Caenorhabditis elegans: one gene and its partner. The protein of the gene in region 2 purifies or fractionates together with the protein of the main gene of each other region. This does not show direct contact. Each region holds a gene or a part of one and is shown on either strand. Other genes may lie near its edges.

What was found.
Region 1: the proteins of cpz-2 (region 2) and F57C7.4 fractionate together in Caenorhabditis elegans (co-fractionation; one large-scale study listed by BioGRID). This does not show direct contact.

The regions. Positions count from the first base shown.
Region 1 is NC_003284.9:10,586,333-10,591,293, forward strand, and holds the start of F57C7.4 (PKD/REJ-like domain-containing protein), read right to left. Parts: upstream 3,234-4,961; 5' UTR 3,207-3,233; coding exon 2,937-3,206; intron 2,876-2,936; coding exon 2,711-2,875; intron 1,577-2,710; coding exon 1,412-1,576; intron 1,366-1,411; coding exon 1,304-1,365; intron 1,259-1,303; coding exon 1,101-1,258; intron 1,054-1,100; coding exon 920-1,053; intron 871-919; coding exon 741-870; intron 695-740; coding exon 627-694; intron 585-626; coding exon 464-584; intron 418-463; coding exon 320-417; intron 275-319; coding exon 119-274; intron 1-118. Other genes in the region: sdn-1 (putative syndecan), read right to left, coding at 4,023-4,198.
Region 2 is NC_003283.11:13,379,262-13,383,650, reverse strand, and holds cpz-2 (cathepsin X), read right to left. Parts: upstream 2,463-4,389; 5' UTR 2,388-2,462; coding exon 2,340-2,387; intron 2,289-2,339; coding exon 2,067-2,288; intron 2,020-2,066; coding exon 1,801-2,019; intron 1,757-1,800; coding exon 1,474-1,756; intron 1,426-1,473; coding exon 1,234-1,425; intron 1,099-1,233; coding exon 659-1,098; 3' UTR 574-658; downstream 1-573. Other genes in the region: Soluble guanylate cyclase gcy-34, read left to right, coding at 1-351, 402-529.

The DNA of each region.
Region 1 (4,961 bases), on a different chromosome or scaffold from region 2:
AATTTATGGTGTAATAAACTGTATTACAGTGATTTTCGTGAAGAACCTTATTTTTGCCTTTCAATAAATGTCATGCAACTTTTTTTTAGCAACAGTAGTTGCAAGTTTAACAACATACATGTATGGTCTTTGTTGAACTTGAAGAGTACGGTTTTTCGTAACTGTATCTTGCTATCAGTGTAACATTAACCAGCTCATTCACAGAATATGAATAAGCCGGTAGTTTGAGCCCGTCATCATACATTTTGCCTTCCCCATTCAATTTCCACTCGTACTGAAAAAAATAATGTCATTTTTTAAAGCTTATGTATTGAAACACCTGAACATCTTTTGGGGACGTTTTGGAGCTGCATTGCTTAAAAGTAGGGTTTGCACGGAGACGAAGACCGAATGAAGCAGGGGTTTCTTGTTCAACGCCTAGAATAATTTGAGTTTACTCAACATTTTAAAAAGTATCAAGTACCATCAATAGAAACTGAAAACACTGATGCATCATCAACAAGTGCGGTATAGATTGGTCCACTTGAAGTGCATTTTTCCGCTACATTACACCCGGTGACCAGTATCACATTGTTTGTTGATAGCTTCAAAAATAAAATAAATCAAGTTTTATTTTTATATCTTACATGATGACTGGGGATTTCCAGAAGTCTTTCTGTTGCGGCTTTTGCAATGGTTTCCATATCCAAGGTACCTTAATTTATGAAGTTGATTGATATTACATTATAAAAAAATCCAACCATTCAAAATAGTCCACTGAAAACTCAAAGGCATGAAGCCGTTCCCTGAAATCTGTTTTACTTCGAACGTTGTTGAATTAGAACATGTAGCCACTTCTTTTTCATGGGAAACTGTAAAGTTTGGATACACCTGCAACTGTGCGCCTTTCAATTTTATTTGCCCTTCAATGAGAATTTACCGCATTTTTTGGACTTTTGAGAAATGCTGATCGAGGTGAGAATTTTGTTTTCACTTCTTGTAGTATGCCGATCTTTGGATTGGCACCAAATTTAATGGCGACATTTGCCCCATCTCCCAGACAAATAGGGTTTTCTGAATAATATGTACTTTATGAATGATTTGGTGGAAAAACTAGTTACCTCCGAGAATGGAAGAGTTTTCCATCAAAACCTCACAATTCATAATGCCCATTGGAAATTCAATTGAATCATTAACCTTTTGAATGTTTATACCAAGTAAATCATCAGACAACTCGGCAGTAAAATCTTCAACTTTATCAATGTGAATTTCCAAATTGCTGTATTAAAAAATAGTTATAATTTTTAATATAAGTTAGTTGTACCTGTTGTTGACATTTGGGCAGAATCTAACCAACAATGTTGGGATAGGCAACACGAGGCATTCCTAAATTGAAGAATTAAAAAATATATTTGATCTTTGTCAATCTCACACTAGAGCAAGGTGATGAAGAAAAATAGGACATTCCTCGTATACTTGCCCTACTGGTATCATCCCAAACAAACGGAATAATTGAAATCCCACTTTTTGAACAGTTTATGGAAGCGGAGCCATTAACAGAAAAAAAGAAATTGTAGTTGGGTGGTACTACCAAAAACTGAAAATGCCACTGTTAGAAAGAATTGAGGTATTAAAAGACGATTTAAAATTATTTTTTATAAATGTAGTTTAATAATTCAACCGATCAATGTTGTTACTGGAACTTTCTACTATAATAAATCCGCAAATTTGATGGGGATCTAAACTCATCATTGATAATAGTCCTAAGATTCTAAATTCAATTTATCCAGGATATTTGATACAACACGCTCTTGTATATTTCTGCTTTATCATATGACGCATCAACTTGGCTTTAAAAAGTTATCTAAATATTGGGCTCTGAAAAAGTAATCACTATTCCAATGGAAATAATTTTACTAAACTATTATCGTTTCTTCATTGTTGTTGTGTAAAACAGCACAAAAATGTGTTTACTATAAGTATTGTGACCGATGGATTAGCATCGACACGTGCATAATTGATTTGAACTATTATAATGTTTATTCTATTGTTGATGTTTTTACTATAACAATAAGCATGTACTTTACCTAAAAAACCTAACATGTATAAACCTGTGGCAGATATAACATGTGTTTCACATTTTTCCATATAACATAACTTTTTAATTATAACGTTCCTGGCACTGTTGTATTGATTCCCTGCATTTTCAAAAATTTTCAATTTTTTGTTTATTATTACATTCAAATTAAACGTGATATATTTAGGTTTTGTAATGTTATTTTCAAAGCCTGAAAATTCAAAAATTATCCTTACGTTTTCATTCAAAAATTTACTTCTAAAAGTGCCGGTCTCTGATACACCAGTAAGGTTTTTTTTAATGTCAAAGTCGAATATATTGGTTGCTCCCCCGACTATCAAGTGTAAGGCACTTAAATACAGAATCAATTTTCTCACTACCAATACACCTTCAATTTCACACCCTTTGCATAATCGAAATAAAAGACAAGAGCAGTTGGTCTTTCACAAGGTCTTTGACGCATTTTGAACATACACACACGGCGACACGAAACGCGCCATTACATTACAACCATATGGTTCCTATTCCCATCTTTCAATACGTTTTTTTTTCGTTTTTTGTTCTCATATATTTTATATGGTTCTATGTGGTAACAAGAAGACCATTCGGAGACACCTTCAAAATGAAGATGAATGAGACATGACCAATACTTACCCGTTTTGCGTCATCAGCATAATTTTGAATGTCGACGCAATGAACTGTCGCATTAGGAAACGGATTGTCATATCCATCTGGATCGTCTATTTCAATTGGATGCTCACTTGTCTCATCAGGAGCTATTTTCCATTGAACGTCAGTGCGTGTGCCTGCGTTGACCACCTGAATGCAAATTGAATTGCGTGTTCGTCAATTATTCAGAATTTTCGAAAAGGAAGCTAACCAATGCGGCAAGTGTCCAACTATGATTGAATGCCAAATGACTTAGAAGCTCACTGAGCACAACACGAGTTGATGTTGTTCCTGCGTTGTCTTTTAGAGTTGGCACATTATCGCTGGTTAGTTGAACAGTGTCCACAAATTCAAAATAAGCTTTTTCAAACCGAATACAGCTTGTTCCAGATGAATAGCATTGATTGAGAATCTTACATTCGCAGAATCCAAGAATTAGGAACAGTAATAACAAATACTTCAATAGGCGCTCTTCTATCATTCAGAAAAATTACATGGCAACCGAAGCCAAAAAAGAAAGCTCGAAAAGTATTAGTGCACGAGGCAAAAAAGTTTTACGTATTCTGATTGAAAAAACGCGCAGCTTTATTTTGTCTCTATGGAAACCCGTTATTTTCAATTTAAGGCTTCGTTTCCTTCTTCTTGTTATTTCATTGTCCATGTGAGATTTCTCATGATCATTTTTCTTTCGTTATTTGTTTATTTATATTGTTTTGGAACATTAATGTAATATTTTTATATTTATAAATTTGAATACATAAAATATGTGAGCATCTCAAATTGTTACAGAAGATGTTATTGGAAAGAAAAAGGTAAACGGATAAAACAAGAAAAAGTACAAATTTCAAGAGGCAAGTTTTGAAACAAAAAACTCTAGCAGATAAGTGCCATCAGAAACCAGAGAAACCGCGTGAGAGTGTTGAGGGATTTTGGAAATTAGGTGGAAATTTCTAGAATAGGATAATATGAGCACATTATAGTAACAAGGGAGTATAGTATAAATTGAGTCAAAGATACATGCATCCCTACCCCTAAGTGGGTCTACAAAAGATTATATTCAAATATTTGGCACCATGGAGTCAGATCAGTTTATATTATCAAATTATCACGAGTAGAACAGAGAGTAATGACCTTTACGAAAGGAAGGCGGGGGGGGGGAGGGTTTGAAAAAAATGGGAGTGGGAAAAAAACAAATTGAAAGGTATGGCAGATTGGAATGAAGTCTGAGAACAGAATCATAAAAATGATTTGAAAGGTGATTGAGTGATAGAAGATTTTGAACAAATGACAGTAGAGATTACGCGTAAAATTCTTTTGTCGATGCTTTGGTATAACCATACGAGGCATATGGTCTTGCTTGCTTGGGTTCATCCAATGCGTATGACCCTTCATCTTTTTTCCTGATTCGAAAGACTACAAAGAGCACGAGTAGAATGGCTGTAATCACCGCAACGAGAACACCTCCGGCAATAGCTGAAAATATCAAATTAAATCAAATTAAAATAGATAATTCTACAACTTTAAATCTTTTCGTTACTAAAAAATAAATAAGCTTTGTGCTTTATTCCAAACATATTTTTATGATCTCAACCCGTAAGGACAACATATAATATCAGTAATGCGATGCATGTAAGAAATATTGCATTGTCCTAAATTGAACTTTCTTGGTAGTGAATAATTTCAATAAGAGTTTAATTTTGTAACTAAGTGAAAAAAAATTTTAGTTTTCCTTTCCAACTCACTAAATCCTTTCAAAACCGTCATCTTCTCTCAAAACCTTTCATTCAAAAGGTTCCCCTTTTCCTCACAGACACTTCCTCCACTCAGTGTCATAAAATCAAATATGCACAAAATGCGACCCTTGACCTTGCCTTCCTTCTTTCTTCAGCGGCTTCCGTCCCACCATCCCGAACCTCAGGCCCTTTTTCTCAAGAGAATAGAGCTGGGGCTCCTTTGTTAGATGTGGGATGCTGCTCAGATTTTGATAACCACAAAAGAAGAAAGCATAGCAAGTTTTGAGAAGAGATGTCAACTTTACTGAACAATTCGTCTTTCCCCACATTTTGAGACACGCGTCATAAGGGGTCTATGTTTTCTTTAAAAACCCATTTCAAGGCATCTGTACTTCCTCACAAAAGGCAGTAAACACAAAAAAGTTTGTTCAAAGCAAGTGTTGTGGAAAGAAAAAAACTAAACATCTCTTCCTACATTTTTGCGCCAAAATAGAAAACTTGAG
Region 2 (4,389 bases):
TGGGAATGATGTGGGAAGCCCGTTCTGTGATGGACCCTGTAAACAAGACCCCGTTTCTGCTTCGAATTGGACTTCATTCTGGAACTATTATTGCCGGAGTAGTTGGCACTAAAATGCCACGTTATTGTCTATTCGGAGAGACTGTAACTTTAGCGTCTCAAATGGAATCTCTCGGTGTTGCTGGTAAGATACAATGTAGTAGCTGGACGTATTCAAAAGCCATGGAAACTGGAAGATTTGAATTTAGTCCTCGAGGTAGAATAAATGTAAAAGGACGAGGAGATGTGGAGACATATTTTTTGATGAGAAGCTTGAAAAAGAGCATTTGGGAGATTACAGATCATGAAAGAGGTGCGGTTGTAGTTGTACGAATAAGTGAAATAATCATTTGTGATTTTCAGATGTCAACGTGAACAGCATCGAGGGTTATGAAGAATTAGAGATTTTCATTGAAAATGCACAAACTGTTAAGCATGACGGACACCCGAAAGCAAATCAGAATCATTCGGCAACATGCACAATTGCATAAATTCAATTTTGTATATTATTTTTCAATTTTTTAATACTATCCCAACCAACAGAACAATTTATTCAAGTCATCAGAACAAACTAATAAATATCATTTATTTTTCATCTGATCATTGATCTTCCTATCCACTCAGAAAGTCAAGTTGGAAACATCAACATCCGCATAATAACAATCACGTTCAATTCCCATATTGTACTGATCTCCTTGTCCATCCTTGAACTTTGAAGTGACCACACGGAACCATCCGAGCTCTCCCCAAGCTTCTCCCCAACTGTTTCTGGCGATCCAGTACTCAACTCCGTTCTCATCAACTCCCCATCCAGTGAGTGAAATGATATGATTGGATTCGAGATCACTCTTCTCTGAGTAGACTCCTTTCACATATTCATACTCGAATTTCTTTGTTGCTCCAATGGCACATGCAATTGGTCCTCCTTTCTTGATTTCAGACATGATTTTGTCACGTCCCTGGACCTGTCCGTAATCCTTAACGTAATAACGAGTGTAGTTGGTAAGGGAGAAGCACTCGTTTGGCCAGCAAGATCCACAGCGATGGTATGGGTTACATTCTGGAATTTCAAATATTGTTTTATTTATTTGAGCATTGTTAGAATGAAAAATTAAAACAACTTTTTTGAAAAAATAAAAAAAAATAAAACTGCCAAGATTAATGTCTACATCTACATCCAACTAAAATTTCTCACCTCCATTTGTGGCTCTGTAGACATTGCATCCTTCCTCCACAAGTCCTTGGATCTTAGCGTGCTCTAGCACATTTCCGATTTCTCCACCTTGACAATTTCCCTTTCCATTGCAGTCAATAATTTCCTGTGGCGACAATTGAGTCATTGGCCATCTTCCCTTGCGAGCAACGTTGAAACGATCGTTGAGAGCTCCTGAAATAATATGAAAACTACTTCACGAAGACACCTATTTTATCTCACCAGTTGTTCCGAACACCCAGCAAGATCCACAATAGACTGGAATATGTTGGTTTCTTGTTGGAGAGCAATAGTTGACTCCACTAACATTTCTCCAGTCCCAACCAGTTGGAAGGTCGTTTGACTTGAAGCTACTAGATTCCCATTCTCTTGGTGCAGTCTTTGATTCGAAAACTTTTCCAGATTTCTTCAAACATCCACATTTGAGGTATGGACGAGCTTCTTCCCATTCTTCTGAAGACTCTTCTGACTCTGAGCTCATATCCACAAGAGCTTCATCATTAGGCTGAAAACGCATGTGTGGTTACATTTAAAGTTCACATTGCTAACCTCATAATATCCCTTTTCCAGCTTGGCCTTGATCATTGGCGACAAGTCGATTTTTCTCTCTTTTCTCGAGTCCAAAATTTCGACAACGTGTTCATCAAAATCCGCTGGATAAACAATTTCTTCTCTAATTTTTTGGTTGTTTTTAGCTATATTTGGATATCTCACAACAGGCTTATTTACCTTTTTGTTCAGTTCAAATGGGGAATCGAGATGAAAACCCTGTCAAAATTGATTTTTACTAAAAATTATTCCAGTGATATACCTACCTTTTTGTACAATAAATCATCGTCATTAACAACTCGTGCCAATGGGGTATCTTCCTCACTACTATCTTCCATATCATCAACCATCTCTTCAACGACATTGTTGACCTCAATCTTCATATCATATTCTTCACCTCCGAGTTCTTCTGGAGCTGGGAGCTTGTCCATTCCAGTAAATTCTCTGGTGAGACGAATGGCAGCACGTGGAAGATTGAACAAGTTGGCCTGAAACCAATAATTTTACAATTAGATCCAAAAAGTATTTTACTCTTTTACCTGACATGTTCCTATAACAAACAAGAATCCAATCAATTTCAAATTCATTTTTCACCAGCCACCGATTGAGTAGGAGAAGAAAAATAGACAAGACAAGCTGAATCGAGCCAAGCAAATTTTCTTATCTCTGTCATCACTGGCGCTGATGGTGAGAGCACTGATAAGATTGTTAATAGTACTGCAGTTGAAGAGACCTTCCACCATATTTGATCTTCCAGAAATTCATGAACAAAGTGGAAAAGTAGGTAAAAATGAAATTATTTTTGAGAGCCGATTCAAATTTTTAATGACAAAAGTTGGGAAATGTAATTTGGATTTTTAAATATTTTTTGAACGGATGAATTCTGAATAAAATACTAATATTTTTGTCAATCAATCTTTTTTGGGAAAGTTATTTTTCTTTTTGGTAAAAGTAAAAAATTCTCTAATTTTGTCCATCTTGCTCCAATTTATCGAAGCGTATGCCCAGAAGCTGAAAACTTGGTTCAAAGATGGGCCTGTAAGACTTTTATGAAATCCAAAATAAACACATCTCAAGTTTTTGATTTTCTTTGCAAATTTATTACCCGAGGTTTTCGAGCAAAAGTGGAGCGGTAGCTCCAATAGGAGAGTGAGTCGACGATTATAAACTAAAATATTTTTAATTTGCACGATAACTAACAAAGAAAGCTGCTTACTATAGTTCCTTATTAGTACTGTGAAATATTTTCAACAAATTATATTCATTCTCCATATACTAAATTGCATTCCTTCAATAACATGTTCAAAGTCCCAATTATATATCACGATGTTGTTTGATGGAAACGACTTTTTGAAAAGGTAACATTCCAAAATCACTCCCTCTTACCAGATAACCGCAACCTATCGGGTAGATCAAAAACCGCGTGCGCACCATTCCCGCACCAACCGGTTTCCAAATTCAGTTCCGCGGGTTTTGACCTCGAGTATATGGCGTGTGGATGTATGTGTGTATGGGGCACGTACCTCTGACATACACAGTATTAATTAGTTTCGCAACTTTTTTGGGCGAAACGCGACCGGCAGAAGTTAAAGTTGAAGAGAGGAGAGACTGATCTGTCCTCGAGAACCAGTTTCTCCATCATCGTCGTCGATATGGCCGAATCAAACTCAACCCCGATGCCGACTGACGATCGGGGTCGACACGACATCAACGTGGCAACATCGTCAACATCTCCATCCGAATATATCAACAGCGGCATCGTCTGTGTACAAGTTCTCAACTGGAATGAGCCTGTTTCAGTGGATCACACCATCGGTAAGTACAGCAATTACAGTGGTCGAGGGACGACCTGAAAACCTGAATTCTGATTTCGAAACAAGAACCTGAAAAAATAATACTATTCCTCGTGCGACGCCTCTTCTACAAATTTTCCACAAAATCTTTTAAATTTATTTTGCTAGCAGTGATTTTTAAAACTCCAGCTCATTGATATTCCATTTAAAAAGAGAGATGAAATAATTGACAATGTAAATTCAAAATGTCACCCGGGTCAAACCGGTCCGATCCGATTACTGAAAATATGTGTGTATCTCTCTTTTTCAATGATAGAGTATGCTCTTATATTTTCAGAAATGTCCTTTGATTTTTATTGTCATCGCCAGATTTTTTGAACCTTTGAATTCAAACTGAAACTTGATATGATGAGAATGGAATAATTATCGTGTTGTCTGAGGATCTTTCTTAAAAAATGTGAACTTTCATTTTAAGAGATCGAAGTTGAGAACAATTTTCGGAAGAAAAATTCGAGCAATTTTTTTGTGAATCTAATGGTTCCACAGAATGTGTAAAGTCTCTATTTCATATATCCAAGAAAACTGAATTAAATGTTTTCTGTACTTCAAGATCTTCAGTCGAAAATCCGAAACTAATCGACAGCTCACACAAGAATTGAAACTTTCCCAGCGTACAAAACCGATTTTGGAAGTTTTTCATATTTTATTCAAGAAGATGGAACCCTGTGATAAACTGAAATAACGTTAACATTGTTTCGTGAGAATTCAATTATAACATGTTCATATTGATCCTTCA